2 linked regions of the Saccharomyces cerevisiae S288C genome follow. The protein of the gene in region 1 binds, or shares a complex with, the protein of each later gene. Each region holds a gene or a part of one and is shown on either strand. Other genes may lie near its edges. The genes, in order: CHS6 and BUD7.

What was found.
Region 2: CHS6 (region 1) and BUD7 share a complex: the UniProt entries of both Saccharomyces cerevisiae proteins name them as parts of the CHS5/6 complex.

The regions. Positions count from the first base shown.
Region 1 is NC_001142.9:237,421-242,405, forward strand, and holds CHS6 (Chs6p), read left to right. Parts: upstream 1-1,993; coding exon 1,994-4,234; downstream 4,235-4,985. Other genes in the region: 1-phosphatidylinositol 4-kinase LSB6, read left to right, coding at 1-1,666; SAP185 (Sap185p), read left to right, coding at 4,662-4,985. UniProt on the Saccharomyces cerevisiae protein: Member of the CHS5-ARF1P-binding proteins (CHAPS) which mediates export of specific cargo proteins, including chitin synthase CHS3.
Region 2 is NC_001147.6:876,809-881,495, forward strand, and holds BUD7 (exomer complex subunit), read left to right. Parts: upstream 1-1,626; coding exon 1,627-3,867; downstream 3,868-4,687. Other genes in the region: MUM3 (Mum3p), read left to right, coding at 1-230; MBF1 (multiprotein-bridging factor 1), read right to left, coding at 422-877; RAX1 (Rax1p), read left to right, coding at 4,157-4,687. UniProt on the Saccharomyces cerevisiae protein: Member of the CHS5-ARF1P-binding proteins (CHAPS) which mediates export of specific cargo proteins, including chitin synthase CHS3. May be involved in positioning the proximal bud pole signal.

The sequences.
Region 1 (4,985 bases):
GAATTCAGACATAGCGGAGGCCCCTCAGGTATTCCACCCTTCCTATCAATCTCTGGTCAACGTACCGTCCGAGAGCCCGCGACCTGATCAGACTTCAGGGTCCAATCCTGCCGTTGGACTGCTTCATAATGCAGAGGACAAAGCGTCAGGGCAAGAAGAAGAAGGAAGTCAATATGAGATTCAATATTCGGTATTTCGTCCGCTGCATGCATATCCAACCAAGGGCCTAGCATATGAGCAGCTCCGAAGAAAAGAAGAACAAGAACAGAGGGAAAACTTCAACCATTTGGTTTCTGACTGTATTGAGGCTGTAGAGACATTTGGACGCGAACTCGAGAGAATCCAAACTGGCTCAAGTGGGTCGTACTTTGTGTATGGAACACGGGCCGACGAAAGCGTTCCGGTGGGGGTCTTCAAGCCCAAGGATGAGGAACCATATGGCCCATTTTCTCCCAAATGGACCAAATGGGCACACCGCACGTTTTTCCCATGTCTGTTTGGCAGAAGTTGTCTGATTCCAAACCTCGGGTACATCTGTGAAAGTGCGGCTAGTTTGTTGGATAGGCGACTGGAAACGCATCTAGTACCCTATACAGATACTGCATCTATAGAGTCTTTTAATTTTTATGATAATAGAAAAAAATGGGTATTGGGATACAACCTTCAGAAGAAGAAACAAAAAAAGCTGGGTTCTTTCCAACTTTTTTTGAAGGAGTACATCAACGCCGATGAGTTCTTTCATAAATACCCATTACCTGGGATGTATTCAGATGTTAAACATTCATTTCATCGTAAGTCATCCGGCGAAGATATCAATCATAAACCAGAGACAACCAGGAACCTAACAGATGAGACAGAACCGTCCAAGCAAATAAATTCCTCTCCAATTTCGACGGAATCTGAAGAAAATTCGAAATTTGAATGGACAGAATCAAGTTTGAGTCAGTTCAGATTGGAACTAGAAAAACTAATTATCCTTGATTATATAATGAGAAACACAGATAGAGGTCTAGACAATTGGATGGTGAAACTAATCAAACTTTCAAACAATAAGTGGAGACTCAAGTTAGCCGCCATCGACAATGGGTTGTCCTTTCCCTGGAAGCATCCTGATGAGTGGCGTCTGTACCCATATGGCTGGTTGTATTTGCCTCTGCAACTACTAGCCAAACCATTTTCTGAGCAAATGAGATCTCATTTCCTACCGATATTGACAAGCACTAATTGGTGGGAAGAGTCGTACCAAGAATTCTTGGCCCTATTTAGCAGGGACCAAGATTTTAACGTCCGAATGTGGAAGAAGCAATGGGCAGTATTAAAAGGACAGGCGTTCAACGTTGTCGAAACATTGAAAGACCCACGACAAGGCCCCTTGGAATTGGTTAGAAGGACAAGGTGCCAGGTAATAGATGAGAAGATGCAAGTTCCCTGTTGCCCACCTCCAGTTTCTATTTTCAAAAACGCCATAGACGAACCTATTGGATCATATTCCACTTCACCAATGGTACTCCCTAGCACCCCAAGCACAATTCCATTTCATGCACATAACCAAAGCAATAGTAATCCTGTATACTATGATTCCACTCTGCACCCATTTGCTAATAAAACAGTGATAGCAGAGCGGCTACAAATAGTCAATTCCACCCCCGTATTCACCTGGTGTTGATTTTTTGGAAAATAATTCAATACATACTCAATATAAAGAAATCATAACTCTACTTTAGCATATAGGAAATAGACTCTTTCGAAAAAACCTCTTTCTGTAGTGTTAGAAAGCAACCGGCTATTATTTTTGTGTGTCTTCGAAAAATCGGAACCCAAACAGATCTTAGCGGATTCATGGTAAAAATAGCCTTGAAGAATTTAGGAAAATAAATAGATACTCAAAAAGGAATAGAGGATCTTAACAAATCATTACATTACTTAACTCACATTAAAAGCAAACACCTTTCTTAAGCTGTTGGTGCAAAAAAGGATTACATCTATTGCCCTTATGAATTTGTTTTGGCCATCGGAAACCAAAAAGCAAAATGAAATACCTGGTGGCGATTATACACCTGGGAACTCACCTTCAGTACAAAAGGGTTATCAATTCCTCAATCGAGACATATTTAAAAGTTGTCCACGAATTATGGAAAGGCAGTTTGGTGAGTGTCTGCACAATAGAACGCATTTAATCAAGGATTTAATTTCTTCTGGCAATGTTGGACTAGGTCCCATTGAGATTGTTCACATGTCCTACTTAAACAAACATGAAAAAGAAGAGTTTGGTGAATATTTCTACGTTACAGGGATCGAAGTTTCCGGTCCTGCAATGCCCGTAGAGTTTCTTGAAGTGCTAAAATCGAGTAAGCGGATTTCCAAAAATATATCGAATAATATCATATTGACTTATTGCTGTTTTAATTTTTTCAGCAATCTAGACATCCGTATTAGATACGATGCTGACGATACTTTCCAGACAACGGCAATTGACTGTAACAAGGAAACCACTGACCTGACCATGACAGAAAAAATGTGGGAAGAAACGTTCGCAAGTTCTGTCATCCGAGCGATAATAACAAATACTAATCCAGAGTTAAAACCTCCCGGTTTAGTAGAGTGTCCATTCTACGTTGGAAAAGATACTATCTCCTCTTGCAAAAAGATCATAGAATTACTCTGCCGATTCTTACCACGGTCACTGAATTGCGGGTGGGATTCTACCAAGAGTATGCAAGCCACCATTGTCAATAACTATTTAATGTATAGTTTAAAAAGTTTTATTGCAATCACGCCAAGCCTAGTGGATTTTACAATCGACTACCTGAAAGGACTTACCAAGAAAGATCCAATCCATGACATATACTACAAGACGGCTATGATCACAATTCTAGATCACATAGAAACAAAGGAGTTAGACATGATAACTATTTTAAATGAGACGCTCGACCCCCTTTTATCTCTGCTAAATGATTTACCGCCTCGCGATGCTGATTCAGCACGATTAATGAATTGCATGAGTGACTTGCTGAACATTCAAACAAATTTTTTGTTAAACAGGGGTGATTACGAACTAGCATTAGGCGTCTCTAACACATCAACCGAACTAGCCTTAGACTCTTTTGAATCTTGGTACAACCTAGCGAGATGCCACATCAAAAAAGAGGAGTATGAAAAGGCTCTCTTCGCAATAAATTCAATGCCTCGTTTGCGCAAAAATGATGGACACCTGGAAACAATGTACAGTAGGTTTCTTACCTCCAATTATTATAAAAAGCCATTGAATGGTACCCGCGAACACTACGACTTGACTGCAATGGAATTCACGAATCTCTCGGGAACGTTGAGGAATTGGAAAGAGGATGAGTTAAAACGGCAAATTTTTGGAAGAATCGCAATGATAAACGAAAAAAAAATCGGTTATACAAAGGAAATCTGGGATGATATTGCGATAAAGTTGGGTCCGATTTGTGGTCCACAATCTGTGAATCTGATTAATTATGTCTCCCCTCAAGAGGTCAAAAACATAAAAAATATCAATTTAATAGCAAGGAATACGATCGGCAAACAATTGGGATGGTTTAGTGGTAAAATATATGGGTTATTAATGGAAATTGTGAACAAAATTGGTTGGAATGGCTTATTAAACATCCGAACAGAAGCTTTCATGATGGAAACTGAATTCTATCAAGCTTCTAACAACATTATCGATGAAAACGGTCATATACCGATGGAATCCCGAAAGAAAAGGTTTTGTGAAGGGTGGCTAGATGATTTATTTTTAGATTTATATCAAGACTTGAAATTGAGCAAGATTAGCCTAAGCAATAAAGATGAAAAACACAGCGGATTAGAGTGGGAACTTTTGGGTTTGATCATGCTGCGTACCTGGCATTGGGAAGATGCCGTAGCTTGTCTAAGAACAAGCATAGTAGCTCGATTCGACCCCGTAAGTTGCCAGCAGCTGCTAAAAATATACCTGCAACCTCCAAAAAATATTCAAGAGGTTACATTACTAGACACAGATACCATAATAAGTTTATTAATTAAGAAAATATCATATGATTGCAGGTATTATAATTATTGCCAGATATTTAATCTGCAACTGCTAGAAAAGCTATGCAACGAATTGGGGACGCATATACTGCGTAATAAGATCCTTCTTCAACCTTCCATAGGAGACGAAATCATGGTCATGATCGATGCCATGCTTGCGTGGATAGCCGACCTAGATCACACAGTACAACCTTGAACAAAACGGTGCTCTTAGTATTATTATATAACCACTACGGTTGGATGGACTGAGGGTAAGGGTAACCGTATACCTTTTATTTTTTTTTTTACATTTTGAACTGGGAAGAAAATTTTTTTTGCGAGGGATTGACGGCTAACGCCAAAACACTCCGAAGAGAATGAGAAAAGCTTGGGCATCGCTCGAAGTCATCGAACGGGACTATTTTTGTTTAAAATTTCACCAGATCTGCTTGATAAGGGTAGTTTAGCTTGTGTATTTGGGAAAGGTACGCAAAAGATATATTTTACTAAGATCTTTAAATATTTTTAGCTTGAGGTAATACATGCTAATTTTAGTTGATTAGAGATTCTGAAAAATTCGTTTTAGTTAGTGTTTAAGAATAGTGGCGTTTATCGTTTTGCCCATTTAATAATTAGGAAAAAATATGTCAGGGTCCTTTTGGAAGTTTGGACAAGATTTTGGTTCACAGTCTCCATTAGCTAAACTGTTGAACAGGGCTTTCATTAAGATCGATGATAAGCCCACTAGTACGGAAGCAGGGAAAATTGACTCTAATAGCACAGATGAAAGTTTAGAAAGCAATTCTTTTAAATCAGAAGACGAAGAAGAAGAATATGAGCTGCCTAACAGAGAAGAAGACTACAAAGCTTATAAGCCAAACCTGTCTCTACTGAATGATCTTTTAGATGATGAGGAGTTATATACAGAACTGATGTGCTCGAACTTCAAGCTACTAGTGTACTTGAAG
Region 2 (4,687 bases), on another chromosome or scaffold:
AGCAAATATCTCCGACAATCTTTGAGATGATTCAACCAGAAATGGAGTCTGAAAACAACATAAAGGATAAGGACCCCATTGTTGTGATGGTAAATGTAAAAAAGCATCAAATTCAACCATTACTCGCATACAATGATGAGAGTTTAGAAAAGTGGCTTGAAAATAGGTGGATAGAAAAAGATAGATTAATCGAGTCCTTGCAAAAAAATATTAAAATTGAGACCAAATAAAGATCCTGAATCATAATATATACGTGTGTACTTCACTTTCTATAGAGGAAAAAAAGCTAAAAAAAAAAAAAAATGATAAAATAAACGAAAAAAACCATAAAACGATCATGATAGAATAATGTACATTATTAAGAATGCTTCATTGATGACATGCAGTGCGAAAAGAAAGGAACAAATGAAAGAAGACCTCTTCATTTCTTCTTTGGAGCTCCCAAAGGCGAACCGATGTTGTTACCTCTCAATTTAACGCCTAAGGCTCTTTCCAACTTAGACAAAACTTGTTGGTTTGGAATAGCTCTAGCGGCTTCATAATCGTTTACCACGGTTGGCTTTTCGTTAATTTTGGTTGCCAAATCCTTCTGCGACATTTTCTTGTCTGTTCTGGCACGCGAGATGGCCCTACCGACATTTGGATCCAATTTCTTGGGTTTGACAATATCTGTCTCACGGTCGACCTTGGTCAACCTCTGACCCTCGTTGTCACCCCTCGTATTGGTTGATCCGTACTTCTTGTCAACGGAAACAACCAACCCCTGTCTTCTTGCAGCATTAATTTGGCCTTGAGATCTGGCAACGTTGGCCCTTGGGCCAGAACCACCAGCTCTTGCTCTGCTACCAATAATAGTATTTGTATCCCAGTCAGACATTTTTCTTTACGATTTTGCTCGTTAACTTTTTTGTTTTCTAGCTTATTAGCTTTTACAGTTATGGAAGCGTAGATTCAACCTTCCCTAACACATGAAACTATTATTGGTTAAGCGACAGGCGCCTTTCCAGCTACCTAATATATACCACCACCGTCAAGGGGCGCCCGTTCATGAAAGAGGCAACGATGGTGATCGATTATTTCCAGGAATTGTTCCATGACGTTCTACGTGGTTCTCTTGGTCGGGTAATACAATCAGGGTAACATAGTCAGGGTAACAGAATCCTTGCTTCTATTACCCTCCAATGCAAAGTTGACTGGCGTACATTTGGGCCAAGTATCAGGCCTACCATCTTTTCATCAGTGTTCGATAAATGAGACGTAGTGACCCAAATTCAGTATGTCTTGATAGCTTAGTAAGACTTATAAGCATTTTCACGCATCTTGGAAGAAAGTTGCGAGCATTGCCTTAAGATTCTGTCATGCGGGTGTCGATAGCGTCACGTGAACACATTCCAAGTCCTTTTTTCTTCACCTTTTTCGGTACCTGGTACCTGAGCCAGGAATAGAAGAAGGATCTGAAAAACGTATGCAAATATAGCAAGAGGGCGTAAGCTTAGCCTCGAGGCAATGGCGTTTTAATTATTTTAAGATTTTTTTTCCATAAATAGTGCTGTTATTAAGTTGAAGTGTTTGAGAAGGGAGTGAGCGCAAAAAAATAAAGAACTAAGGAAGAAGAGCTTCCCTCAGATGATTACGCAGAATTCTATACCAGAGGTAAAAGAAGATTTTATTGGTTATGCTTTACATGAGAGAAGAATTCGGTTACCGCAGTTTCAAGACTTAGGGCCGGCAGACTTGGTCACACTAACAAAGTATTTGCCCACTTCAAGTAACACAAATGCCATAAACAGTACGAGTAGAAATGGTGCGGCCATTATTCAGTCCCCTGCAGCCGTTGTAGCCGATGACTCTGCCGCTTCCATGGCAACCAATGGCGATGCTAGTGACACCGCCGTTACCACAAATTATACAAATGCATCTATATACAGTAGCAGCAGAAATGCCAATGATGGAGCCCCGATGGTCGCTGAGCTCCATCCACTTGATAAACTGAAGGACGAAGTAGGGACATTTTTTTACTCAATGGGTGTCGATACATCCGGTCCAACTTCAATCGCAATTTTTTTGAAGGAGATTTCAGAGGTCATCAGCGAGAAACCCCAAGTTTGGTTTGGCAGGAAGAAAACCTTCAATGTTGCTCGAATTTCATTTTCCACTTGGAATGCGTTCAGGAGATGCGACATAAATGTCGTCGTTCATATTCCAGGATCGATTCAGAACTTTATAGTGGATTGCAACGGTGAAAGTCAAAATATAGAGATGTGTGCGGATTATGACTTAATTTGGGCTGAAACGTTCGTAAGTGGCGTAGTACGGTCAATCATGTTAATGAAGGAAAACGCTGAAGAGGGAGAATTACAAAATTTAGTGGAAACCTTGATTTTGAACCCGTTTACTGCAGGACAAATCGACGATGTACCAGAAATGTTCATTGATCTGTTCCCTATAGTTTACCATAAGGGCCCATTATTGGGAGCTCCGTATTATATTACCAATGTGACGAACACTAATAACTATTTGGTAGAAACACTCGTTGAGATAGTTAAGCTGACTCGTAATGTTAGCAGGGCGGAAATAATGTTGAAGAATCTGGCTACCGACAACCCTGAGGCGATCATAATACTAATCAAGATCTTTTTGGTGTGTGATCAAGAATTAGACGCAATAAAGCTCACATACGATATGCTTTCGCAGGATAAAATAATAAACAACACTAATAACCGCATGGATTATAAATCTGAATTACTGTGCTTACAAGCGCAATTTTTGATAGACAAAAGGCAGGATTACAGCTTGGCGCAAAACATAGCGCAAGAGGCAGTCAATTGTTCTCCCAGTGAATTTAGACCTTGGTATCTTTTATCCAAGGTGTATGTAAAGCTAAATGATATTGAAAATGCCTTACTGATACTGAATTCATGCCCTATGTCTCCATTAAAGGAAAAATACGTACTGAAAAGAGTAGCTCCGTTGCCTTCGAATAATAGTCTTCATTTGCCATTGCCAATTGACGTTGTACTGGATGAAGTGACGTCGTTGAATCCACAAGACGTTCAGAATGAACACCGCTCTGCGGATCCAATGCTGGTCAATTTAGCTGCGTCGAACTTGAAATCTACTTTCCAATTGGCATACCGATTATTGACAGAAATTGTGCAGATCACCGGCTGGGAAAATCTGTTAAAGTACAGATCAAACATTTTCGTTATGGAAGAAGAGTACCAAAAATCATCATCTTCGTTACCAAAGGACGTTAACAAACAAGAAGAACAGCCTCTGAGGGCTAAACGGCTGTGTGAACGATGGTTAGACAACCTCTTCATGCTTTTATATGAAGACCTGAAGATGTATACATTATGGCAAACCGAACAACTGTACATGGATGCACAGAATAACAACCACAATAAGTTGACTTTCGAATGGGAGTTATTTGGCCTTTGTGCACGTCGACTGGGCCATTTCCCTGAGGCCGCCAAGGCCTTCCAGAACGGTTTATCGCAGAGATTTTCATCAAGGTGCGCGAGGAAACTGCTGGAATATTGTATAAACGAACGCCAACGGGTCAAAAATTTTATAAACTCACCTAATTCGCATGACATGGTCCCTGAAATAGTAAGCTCACGCATAAGAGAGCTAGACAATAGCATTATCGACCTTTGCGTGAAGATATGCTGCTGGAACCACCGTTGGTATACGGAATTTTCCATAAGTTTACTTGATTGTTTAAGTGTGGTTATTCAAGATATGAGTCTGACCAAAGTTTCGAATGAAATCTCGTCAAGATATCCAGAAACTGTTCTCAACTTGGTGCAGGAGAATTTGCTCAATTTCTTCACTACTTGCACCATTGGATGCTACGATGCATAAATACGATAAAAAGACATTAATACGTATATATAATCCAAAAAAAATTGGCGATACGCTTCAACGTTGTGTCAAACTCTTGGGTCACTTTAAAGAAAACCCAGCATACATTAATACAGAGCAATGCTGGTTATGTAACTTCGCCGCCCGCCGCCATTCGAGGAAAAATATTCGTGTTTCGAGAATGCGGGCAAAACGAAAATATCAATAAAACACATACGGGAAATTCATTGTGCACAACGACCTCTAACAATTTCTGCCAAAAAGAAAGTTCAAGAGCGTCCCATTCATCATGAAGGAAGAGCTCAGCAAAGTGAGCAGTATGCAAAATTTCGAGATGATCCAGCGTGAACGATTGCCAACATTGTATGAAGTGTTAATACAGAGGACATCGCAGCCAGTTGATCTCTGGACTTTTTATACATTTCTTTCACAATTCCCATATGCCATCAACTATCTGGACTTTTGGGTTGACCTTATGACACATACACGACTTTGCAAAAACTACATAGAGTTGGTAAGAAAATCATTAATCAACTTTCCACAAGAACAACAGCAGAATGGAAGTACATCTACGGCTACATTTGACTTGCTGAACGCACTGATAGAAGAAGGGCACCTAGACCCGGAAGCACCTGATAAACTCTTAGAAAATAGCGGCCCAGACGTGCCCTTTTCACCAAAATTAAACGAATTGCTGGGTGATTGGAAGCACCAATCGGGTATCGGTCAAGAAGCCCTGAGAAACGAAGACGTAGCGCTGATCGTCGACGAGATAATGAAAAGGCGCTCCCAACAAGACGGAAAACCGCAGATAACTACA